Linked DNA regions of Ovis aries. The protein of the gene in region 3 purifies or fractionates together with the protein of the main gene of each other region. This does not show direct contact. Links are inferred from orthologs where the notes say so. Each region holds a gene or a part of one and is shown on either strand. Other genes may lie near its edges. The genes, in order: ING4, MEAF6 and JADE1.

Evidence for each region.
Region 1: the proteins of JADE1 (region 3) and ING4 purify together in Homo sapiens (affinity purification with mass spectrometry; 4 studies listed by BioGRID and IntAct, with this or other methods). This does not show direct contact. The link is inferred for Ovis aries from reciprocal best matches to the Homo sapiens genes JADE1 and ING4.
Region 2: the proteins of JADE1 (region 3) and MEAF6 purify together in Homo sapiens (affinity purification with mass spectrometry; 5 studies listed by BioGRID and IntAct, counting the BioPlex papers as one, with this or other methods). This does not show direct contact. The link is inferred for Ovis aries from reciprocal best matches to the Homo sapiens genes JADE1 and MEAF6.

What each region holds. Positions count from the first base shown.
Region 1 is NC_056056.1:209,616,221-209,618,700, forward strand, and holds the end of ING4 (inhibitor of growth protein 4), read left to right. Parts: intron 1-140; coding exon 141-255; intron 256-421; coding exon 422-527; intron 528-739; coding exon 740-887; intron 888-1,148; coding exon 1,149-1,210; intron 1,211-1,306; coding exon 1,307-1,346; 3' UTR 1,347-1,944; downstream 1,945-2,480.
Region 2 is NC_056054.1:12,341,819-12,346,265, reverse strand, and holds the start of MEAF6 (chromatin modification-related protein MEAF6), read left to right. Parts: upstream 1-1,644; 5' UTR 1,645-1,652; coding exon 1,653-1,742; intron 1,743-2,936; coding exon 2,937-3,052; intron 3,053-4,447.
Region 3 is NC_056070.1:29,236,589-29,240,966, forward strand, and holds the start of JADE1 (protein Jade-1), read right to left. Parts: upstream 2,865-4,378; 5' UTR 2,689-2,864; coding exon 2,559-2,688; intron 1-2,558.

The DNA.
Region 1 (2,480 bases), on a different chromosome or scaffold from region 3:
CCTCAGGGTCCTCCACCCCTCCTTTAGCGTGCTGGGATCTGTTTGGGGTCTGGGAGATGCATGGATTCTGCCTTAGCCTGTTTGCTTTTACTGGAACCAGCCTGGTAGCTCTTCCTTCTCCTTCCTTCCTTCCCACCCAGGTGGACAAACACATTCGGCGACTGGACACAGACCTGGCCCGCTTTGAGGCTGATCTGAAGGAGAAGCAGATTGAGTCAAGTGACTATGACAGCTCTTCCAGCAAAGGCAAAAAGAGTGAGGAGGGGGGTGGGCCATGAGAGTTGGAGCGAAGATTCCAAGAGGGCAGCCAGCCCATCCCTCAGCTCCAAGGGAGGACCCCTACGTTGGAGGAGAGGAGGGGTCCTTAACCCATCTTTCTGTCCCTCTGCCTTCTGGCTGCCCCTCCCCTCTTCCCTGGAAGGTCGGACTCAAAAGGAGAAGAAAGCTGCCCGTGCTCGTTCCAAAGGGAAAAACTCCGACGAAGAAGCCCCCAAGGCCGCCCAGAAGAAGTTAAAACTTGTGCGCACGTGAGTGAGTCAGGGAGCACCCTGCCAAGTGACAGGCTCCTCTTTGCCCCCGCCCCGCCCCTCGCCCCCTTCTCTATCACTCTGGTATCTGCTGGATACAGAGGGGAAGCCACAGACCACTAGCCTCACAGGGATCTCCTCGTGCCACTCTGAGCGTCAAGCTGTAGCGTCCCTTCCTGCAGGTGATACTCTCTCTCCCTCTTGGCACGCAGAAGCCCTGAGTATGGGATGCCCTCAGTGACCTTTGGCAGTGTCCACCCCTCTGATGTGTTGGATATGCCTGTGGATCCCAACGAACCCACCTATTGCCTTTGTCACCAGGTCTCCTACGGGGAGATGATTGGCTGTGACAACCCTGACGTAAGAACCGGTTTGCCTCAGGGCGGGGGGCTCTGGGGGACAGGAAGGGAGTTGGGTACCAGAAGAGGGTAAGGGCTGAAGAGTGGGACCTCAGGACAGGAGGAAGGGAGTTGGAGGTGGTTGGCCTTGGACCCTTCAAGAATCCTCCCGCCGGATGGAGTAAGGGAATGCTCCTGAGGACTCCGGGTGGGGGGGTTCTCTGCTTTCCTCGGCCCCAGCCTGCCCCCTGCCCTCTGCTCCTCCACCGTCTTCCTTTTCCAGTGCTCCATTGAGTGGTTCCACTTTGCCTGCGTGGGGCTGACCACCAAGCCTCGGGGGAAATGGTGAGTGGGCGCTGTGGTCGGAGCTGGACTGCCCTGAGCTGAGTGACGGGGGGCGTCCTCCGCTTCGCTCACCTCCTCCCCCACCTTCCTTTGCAGGTTTTGCCCACGCTGCTCCCAAGAACGAAAAAAGAAATAGACAAGGGCCTTGGATTCCAACACAGTTTCTTCCACATCCCCTGACCTGGCTAGTGGGGAGTGGGATGCCTGGCTGGGCCGGGGGTCAGGGAGAGGTGGGTGGCACATGTTGTCATCTCCTCTCCTCCCCTCCCCACTTCCGGTGCTGAGGCTGCACCCAGACCCTGGTCCAGGGGTTCTGCGGCCGCTAACGGTATGTGCTCTCATTCAGCCCGCCCCCTTCAGAGGGAAGTGGTCTTGCCCACTGTCCTTTTGCCTCCACGCCGAGGTTGGTGCTGTGTTTTTGAGGGATGGTCCTCTTTTCTCCCGTTGCTTTGTATTTAAGGACTGGGGCAGTAGCATGGGGCCCTCCTCCAGCTTCCTGATTCCCTCCCCTCGTTTTGGGGGGGGCCATGCGTGATAAACTTCCTTCACTCTCTCCATGCTTTTTCCAGCGGGGGGCTCCTCCGGGTCCTCTGGGCCACGGCCCTGGCTGAAGGGGCACCCCTTCCTCTGTGCCGAGAGGATTTGTCCAGCCTTGTGAGTGGGAGGGGCAGGGCAGAGTGTCAGTATCTCACTTGTAAAGGAATCGAGTTGGTGAATAAAAGCTGTACGTGTTGGCCTGCTGTGTTTATTGTAGAGACACTGTTTTAGCACATGTGCTGAGCATAGTTTGCATCCTCTGAGTTGGCTAAGAGGCAGGAGGATGTCATGCTGAAAGTAGGACCAGACATGGAACCTGAAGTGGTACCGCTGCCCCAGGACCCACCACCTCTCAGCATGGGAAGGACAGAGCTGGCTGGAACTGGGCCTCAGACAGGGGGTTTCCAAAACCTTCAAGATGTGCATCTTTTCCCTATATCTTTCATTTAATTTCCAATAAATGTGTACTTGTGTTTTATACATGAACTGTTATACTAAGTATTAGCCTGACTTATTTGAAACACAAAGCAAAAACTTACCACCAATGAATTGTCTATGCCCACCTGGAACCACTTCCATAGATTAAGCCCTCCTTATGCAGGGTCTCCTCACCAGAACCCCCATCTTACTCCCTGCTCTGGCTCACTTACCTGGAGCTGTCCTCTGTAGTTCCTACCCTCCAGGCCCCAACTTTGTGTTGCATGTTCCATCTCTGCCCCAGTCCTCACATGGG
Region 2 (4,447 bases), on a different chromosome or scaffold from region 3:
CCTGGTCTCTTAGGAGGTTGGCCCACTGTGCTCTCGGTGCCTACTTTATCTCTGCTCTTCATTCTTATACTCGCTCCCTGCTGGAATGCTGTGTGTCTGGAAATTCTTTACCAACCTATGCTCAAACTGCTTAACATGCAGGAGATATGGGTTCGATCCCTAGTCCACGGAGATTTCACATGCTGCAGGACAGCTAAGCCCGGGTTCTGCTGAGCCTGTGTCCTGGAGCCCGGGAGCCACGGCTGCTGAGCCCACGTGCGGTAACTACTGGAACTTGAACTCTCTAGAGCCTGTGCTCCGTAGCAAGTGGAGCCACCGCAAGGAGAAGCCTTAGCACCACCATTAGAGGGTAGTTTTGAATTATTGTTATAAAACCCTTCATCACATCCTCCCAGGGTGGAACACATAGTTTTTCGAGACAGAAGCCCAGTTTGTCTTCCTTTGCCTGGCAAAGTGATAGAGCCTTCCTTTTCTACTTCACTCAAAACTTTGTCTCCAAGATTTGATTTGGCATTAGTGTATGGAGAGGCCAAGCTTTCCATAACAACATTAGACTTACAGCAATTGTGTTAAGTATGCACTATTATTACCTCCATTATACAGATGAGGAAATTGAGACAAGTGAAATTTAGCTACCTGCTCAAGGTGGCCCAGCCTCATCAATGGTAGAGGTAGCGTTTTTTAAATTTTAGTTTTTTATTGAAGTATTGTTGATTCACAATGTTGTATTAATTTCAAGTGTACAGAAAAGCGATTCACATATATGGAATCTTTTCAGATTATTTTCCTTTATAAGTTATTACAATACAATGAGTATAGTTTCCTGTGCTATAGAGTAGGTCCTTGTTGGTTATTTATATTATATGTAGTAGTGCCTGCATATTAATCCTAGACTCCTAATTTATTCCTTGCCCTCTTTCCCCTTTGGTAATGGTAAATTTGTTTTCTGTGTCTGAAAACTCACAGAATCATCATCTCCCAGACCTCAGCTTTGTTCCTCCTCCTCCATTTCTGCCACCAGCCAGGTGTCTGTTCCAGCTCGTCTGTGCCCTTAACCACCGCACATACTTGTCTCTCTAAAGGGCAATAGGGAGCCACTGAAAGGTTTTTACCTAGAAGGTGACACATTTGTTTTCTAAAAACAAATCATCCTGGCACCACTTTGGATAATGGATTAAATCGAGCTAAGGATAGAAACAGGAGGCTGTTGGAATGTCTCCAAAAACGAGAGCCTGGATGAATGAGGGAGGTGGCAGACAAAAGGAAACAGATTTACGAGCTCTGCTCGAGTCAAGTCCAGAGGACTTGGTTTTGGATCGGATTAAGGGGGTGAAGAAGGGTGAGGCCGGTACAAAGGTTTCTGACTCGAGTAATTCCGCGGACACTAAAAGTCATTCACTGATGAGACTTCCGAGAAGTCTTATTTTGGACACGGTGAGTCTGCAGTGCAGAAATGCGGCCGGGACCTAGGGCAGAGGGCACCCTTGGGGTCCTGCGAGCCCACCGGCGGGAGCTCTGGGGGGCGCCCAGCGCGCCTCCGGAAGCCGCGCGCGCAGGCGCAGTGTGGCGGCGGGCGCCCCCTGGCGGGCGGTGGCGCGAAGGGACCGCCCCCAGCCTAGCGCTGCCGCCGCCGCCGCCCGCCTCAGCCCAACATGGCGATGCACAACAAGGCGGCGCCGCCACAAATCCCCGACACCCGGCGGGAGCTGGCGGAGCTCGTGAAGCGGAAGCAGGAGCTGGCGGTGAGGGCCGGCACCGGGGGTGCCCGGGTGAAACCCCCGCGCTTGCCCCCGTCTCCGGGCCCGGGCCCGGCCGCTCCGGGCCGTTCGTTACTCCCCGGGCGCAGCGCGGCGGCTGGGAGTCCGCCGGCCTGAGGACGGCTGCGCATTGCGCGGCCCGCCGGCGCCTCGGCTTCCCGGCCGGGCGGATCTGGCGCCGGGAGCCGGGGGCGGGGCGCGGAGCGGGGGAGGGGGAGGGAGGCTAGGCCGGCGGAGGCGTGGAGGGAGGTTGGCGCCCGCGGGTGGGGGCTTCCGTGTGGGAGCCTGCGGCGGCGAGGGTCCGCGAGCCCCGCGGGCTGGATGAGGGCGGGCGGCCCTGGGCTCTTGGAGCGATTGGGCGGCAAGCGTGCCGGCAGGGTGGAGGAGATCGGCTCCGGCTTGGCTGTGGGCTCTGGGGAGGTGGGGTAGGAGACGGATGTGGGAGGGGAGACCCACACATCCATTCTGACCTTTGGAGGATGGAGGGGCGTTAATGTCTTTGCGGGGAATAGGATTAGATCCGTTGGATGGGGCTTTTGATGGGCAGGCGTGGGATGTGTTCGGGGACTTCTTAGAAGATGACAGGTGAGGGGGAGCGGACTCAGCCTAGGGAATTAGAAATTGTGACACGCGCCTGGGGCCCCTTGCTCCCTGGTGGCTAAGCCGTCCCTCCCCTTGCGTTTTTGGCTGGAGCACCGGGAGGCGCATCTTACCTGAAGCTGCCCTTCCAGGTTTCCATAGCAACCGGCCGCCCGGTGCAGGCGGCCTTTCGGAGCTTGCAGGGAGGCGAGCGAGTTGGCGCTGGAAGGCTGCTCACCCTTCCCTCTCCGGTAGCGGTGTCTTTTATGCGTGGGAGTGGAGACTGCTCACCTTCTTCCTCCGCGGTTTCTTGACAGCTGGGTTTCCACGAAGCCTCTGAGTATATACAGACTTTTGCCTGGGTGTACATTTTTCTAGGGACAGAATCTATTTCATTTTATTCTTAAAGGCACCCAGCAAGACAGGTCTAGACTGTCTTGTCTGAAACAGCCTGCCCCTACCCATGTCATCCCTCTCTCCACAAGGCTGACTCGGTGTCGTTGAACTTGAATTTCTAAGCCTGATACCAGGATGTCAGTTTGGTCCGACTTAATGCTTGCATGTAAAAGGCATCAACTGTTTCCTTGTCTTTCACCTCAGGAAACACTGGCAAACTTGGAGAGACAGATCTATGCTTTTGAAGGAAGCTACCTGGAAGACACGCAGATGTACGGCAACATTATTCGTGGCTGGGATCGGTATCTGACCAACCAAAAGTGAGTGACAGAAGCCTGTAGTGTTGCTTTGTGCCCTACTAATGTTTGCATTTGGTGCTTCCCTGGCGGCTCAATGGTCAAGAACCCGCCTGCCAGTGCAGGAAGTGTGGGTTCCTTCCCTGGGTCAGGAGGATTCCCTGGAGAAGGAAGTGCCAACCCACTCTAGTATTCTTGTCTGGAAAATCCCACTGACAGAGGAGCCTGGTGTGCTGCAGTCCATGGGGTCTCAAAGCATCTGACACGACTTGCGACTAAACAGCAACAACTGTATTTGTGATCAGGACTATGTATGTCCTTGGCGGTAGCTTTGGAGGGAAGCAGTAGTAAGGTGGGGTGGACAGAGGTCTGCATTCGAGCTTGGTCTCTGGTTCAACCCCTGCCTCACTGAGTAACCCTGGACAAATCCTACACAGTAGGGGAAGTCTGGCCAATGGCACAGGGTTGTGTGAGGCTTAAATGGAATACAGCATATAATACTTTATATACCAGCATGCCTCTTGCTATTTTGTACATTTTAATCAGTCAAGAGTTCCACCCTCACAGGATTTGCCCTACCTATATGCCAACTGTGCCATGGTTTATTTAGTAATATTATTCTTAAAAATGTTCTAATTTTTTTTTGAAAATTTTCGAATCTAGAGAAAAATTGAAAGAATAGTTCATGATCTCTTGATCTCCTTCACCGATCACCAGTTAGCTTGCTGTCACGTTTGATTTCTCTCTCTTCCCTTTCTGTAATTTACAAGCACACACTCTATGCGGGCATGCCTGCTTAGTCACTCAGTGGTATCCAACTCTTTTTGACCCCACGGACTGTAGCCTGCCAGGCTCCTCTGTCCATGGGATTTTCCAGGCAAGAATACTAGAGTAGGTAGTCATTACCTTCTCCAGGGGATCTTCCTGACCCCGGGATCGAACCTTGGTCTCCTGCATTGCAGGCAGATGCTTTACTATCTGAGCCAACAGGGAAACCCATACATCCCCATATCTATACTTAAAATTAAAAAAAAAAATTTTTTTAAATAATTATAGATACATAGGCAAAAAACAATACAGAGAGGTTCCATATATCCTTCACTCAGTCTTCCGCAGTGGTTGGGTTTTATGTAACCATTTAGTACAATGGTAAAAGGAGGAACCTGACCTTGGTACAATGTGTAAGTTTAGTTCTATCATTTTATCAAGTGGGTAGCTTCCTGTAACCACCACCGCAGTCAAGATATAGAACTGTTCTGTCACCACAAAGATCTGCCTCCTGCCACCCCTCTGTAGTTGTATCTCTCCTTTCTTCCATATATGTGTATTATACTTTCTGCTAAACCATTCAAAAGTTAAAAGCAGATCTTGGACACTTCGTCCCTAATTGTGTTAGCAGATACCTCCTAAGAATAAGAG
Region 3 (4,378 bases):
AATTAATCCATCCTGTAAGGTGACCTCTCCAAGCCATTTCCTCTGCCAATCTCTCCGTTTCACACTGCAAATGGCTCCAGCTAGAAACCCAGGGTTTCCCACCACCTGGCCCCTCCCTGCTCTACCCAAACATCTCTCCTACCAAGACCCCCTAATCAGCTTGCCTGGCCTCTATCATAAAACACCTCTTCTTTCCAGCCTCAGCCTCTGCGCCCAGTGCTCCTTGGCCCTTTCCTCCTCACCCATCCATCCCAATCCCATCTCTTCTCCAGGGCTCAGCTCAAAACCACCAAGTACCATCCACCACTCCAATTAAAACCATTTACATTCAGTACCACTCATTTCACCTTTTTCATCTTTTAGAACTTTTTCACTCAGCCTTTTAATGTACTATTTTCTTTAACATGCAATCAACTCCTGCCTTGCATCATCACTCAAATATTTTATACAAGTGTGTCTCTAAAAGGTTATAGTTAAATTCTAGAGAACAGAGATTCTCTTGGATTAAATGTGAAATAAAGACTTCACAGAAATGGGTCTTAAGCAAAACTTCAAAAAAAAAAAAAAAAAAACGACTTCAAAGGGCAGCTACAACAGGCACCCCCGGAACTCTGGGTCCAGTCCTCAACAGGGCTCTTCTAACATTCTATCTGATTTCATCAAAACTGGCTTCAATGTGATACAATTTACGGGAGCCTGGAGTGTCCATTTGCCATGAGAAGCATAACAGCTAAGTAGACAAAATACTAATTATTAGGCATTTGGGACTTTGCCCAAAAAGCAAAAAAACTACCTAGGAAACCTGATTATAATATGAACACTGCCTAGAAAGGCCAAGTAAGAGGAAGTCATTGGCCAAAGACCCTGGCTGGATCAGTCAAGTGACAGTCCTTTGGAAACGGGGAGGACGAGCCGAGACAACCAGGTGCGCGTGGTAGCTGCGCAGGGCACCATCTCCTCAGGAAGCACAGGCGACATCCTGCATGCAGACCACTCTCCTTCAGCCTCTCCTGCCACACGTGTTAAAAAGCAGTGGATTAGTTAACATGTTCATTCAATTAAAACTGCATCAAGTTAGATGCCAAAGATATGATGAACAAGGTAGGGAATGGCCCAAAGGGAGATACAGTAAGCAGATATCTAGATAACTAGCTGCAGTGTGGTAACTGTTATGAAGACCTGGGTTCAATCCCTGGGTCAGGAAGATTTCCCAGAGAAGGAAATGGCAACCAACGCTAGCATTCTTGCCTGGTACAGATGACCCTGTTAGGCTACAGTCCACAGGGCTGCAGAGAGTCAGACATGATTGAGCAACTAACACTTTCACGGGATATGTACATGAGACAGCAAGCTGCCTCAAAACCTTCAAATTTATGTTTTCCTTGGACTGAAATTAGGGTGGAGAATCGGCAGGCACTAAGTTAAGAGCAGCCCTTAGCTGAAGGAACCCATCCCCAAGTGGTTCAGGAATTTGCAAGGGAACAAATTTAGTGACCTGGGTGTGGTTCCAGGGAGGCATGACTGGTATGTGACTCTAGCCAAGAAAGAATGAGAAATGACCCTGGAGGACAGAAAGAAGAACTTTTACAAAAGAATAAGATGATTAAGAATTTCAGAATGTTTATTCAGTGCTACACCTGGGAAAAAGACAGATTTGAGGAACTGTCCCGTTATTAGAATCATTCTGTGGTGGAACAGGGACCATTTATCAGGCCATAAACTCTACAGCTATACTAAGGATTGCACCCTAGTGATTTTCATTGCTTATGGTTTATATGCAGAAAGGCTATTTTTTTCAAAGTATCAATTTTGTCCAGTATGTTTTCATTCTTCACTCTCAAGAAGTTCTAGAAAGTACTCAAAGACCTCTACATATTCCTTCTCTGTGTATCACTTAATACATAACTAATGCAGTGGATGAAGGGGGCTTCCCAGGTGGCGCTAGTGGTAAAGAATCCACCCGTCAATGCAGGAGTCAAGAGACTTGAGCTCAATCCCCCCGTCAGGAAGATCCCCTGGAGTAGGAAATGGTAACCCACTCCAGTATTCGTGTGGGAAAATCCCACAGAGGACCCCGGTGGGCTATAGTCCATGGGGCCAAGAAGAGTCGGACACGACTGAGTGACTGCACACACCCACACAATGCAGGATGAATGACTGAGTTCCTGAATGTAAACTCTATCCTATGTTCAACTCAGCTTTAGAGAATGTGAGACACTTCACTTTAATATCTACTTGACCTTTAGTTGGAGTAACTTCTATTAATTTTCAAATTTATAAGGTGTCCTTCCATTCTCTGTCAAAGTTAATAATCTAATATTTAAATGTACTATATTTTTAAATGTATTTAGCATATGTATAATATAAAAACATACATTAAAGAACTGACTTTCAGACACCAAGAAGTCTTACATAAAGACAAAAGATTTTGAAATGAGGTGGCTCTATTTGCTAAGTTCAGACATTCAAATATTATTTTTAAACACTATGCAACATGATTTGGTCCCTTAGTCACTGGTCATAGACTATTAATACTTCCCCCATAAAGAAAGACTCACATTTTCTTAATAGATCTTCTTTCTTCTTATCTTCAATGAGTGTGAAAGTGAAAGTGAAAATGAAGTCGCTCGGCCGTGTCTGACTCTTTGCGATACTGCGGACTGTAGCCCACCAGGCTCCTCCGTCCATGGGATTCTCCAGGCAAGAATACTGGAGTGGGTTGCCATTTCCTTCTCCATTCAAAGAGTATACATTACCCCAAATAAAATACCCAAATATAATAATGACCTATACTTCAAAGTAATCTCTTATCCATCCATAAATGAATGTGAACAAGATCAGCTGGTTTCTTATCTCAGTTTTTATAGCAAACATTAATGTCTTAGACATAAAGTTTTCAAATTAACAACACTATCTAAATTCAAATGCTCAGAGTTTAAAAATACTAGTGTGACTGTAACTCAAACCCAGATTTCTCACTTTAACCAAAAATTATATCTGGTCAAAAAGACAGTCATAGATTTGATATAACTGACAAACTGCTTAGATCGTAAGTGTTAAAAGCTTTAATCTTGTCTAAATATTTCAACTCAGAAAAAAAGAACTTATAAAAATGTGTCTGTTATAATGTCATGTATCAAAATTTATTTAAAGGACATGGTGCCCAAGCTTCTACAGTCTCTGCAGGGACATCCACTTGAAAATATTCAGCTGAAAAAGAGTTTATATTAGCAACAAATAACCTACCACCTCTCCCCAAGAAAAGATTTTAATAACTGCCCAGATAATCATAAATGCAATACTCATCCCTGTGAATGTTACTAATAAAACCCAAGTGCTGTAACACACTAGTTCACCATTAAGTTCTTTATAAGTTATTTTTAAAACCGGACTTTAAAAGTAAATAAATTTTTTCAAGATTTTAAGAAATTTATAAATGTGAGTGGTTCTGAATGAATCACAGGCAGCTCCCATTTGCCTTTATAAGTAATCCAATCTCTGTTCATGAGCCCTAAAATAATCTATTAAATCCCTCCTAGGTCTCTGTAATTGATGACAATTAGAGTCAGCACCTGAAGAGCAGTTATGATAAAACATTCCAACCATCTGTATTTGGGATGTATTTTTGTTCTCTTTCCATGAATTCACCCCAAACAATATAAGGCAACCAGACATCATGGACTCCAACCCTGAGCTTCTACCCGTTTCCATCTACTCAGAATTCCTTTTTAGTAGATCTGTATGTTCAGATGTTGGAAGTACCAAAACACATACCAAGAAAGAAACACCCACAAACTGCAGGGGAGAAAAATGGAATATCAGCCCATTTACATATAAAAGAGGGAAGATATATATATACACACAACTGCTTGCATATTCATGGAAAATTTCTGGAGTGACTGCAGAGTTCTAGACTGAATAGGTTGGGAAAGTTTACTTCCATTTATGACCTTTTACAGCATATGACCTAGACAGCATATTAAAAAGCAGAGACATTACTTTGCCAGCAAAGGTCCATCTAGTCAAAGCTATCGTTTTTTCCAGTAGTCATGTCTGGATGTGAGAGTTGAACTATAAAGAAAGCTGTGTGCTGAAGAATTAATGCTTTTGAACTCTTGAGAGTCCCATGAACTGCAAGGAGATCCAATCAGTCCATCCTAAAGGAGGAAATCAGTCCTGAATATTCATTGGAAGGACTGATGTTGAAGCTGAAACTCCAATACTTTGGCCACCTGATGTGAAAAACTGACTCACTGGGAAAGACCCTGATGATGGCAAAGATTGAAGCCAGGAGGACAAGGGGACGACAGAGGATGAGATGGTTGGATGGCATCACCGACTCAATAGACATGAGTCTGGGTAAACGCCAAGAGTTGGC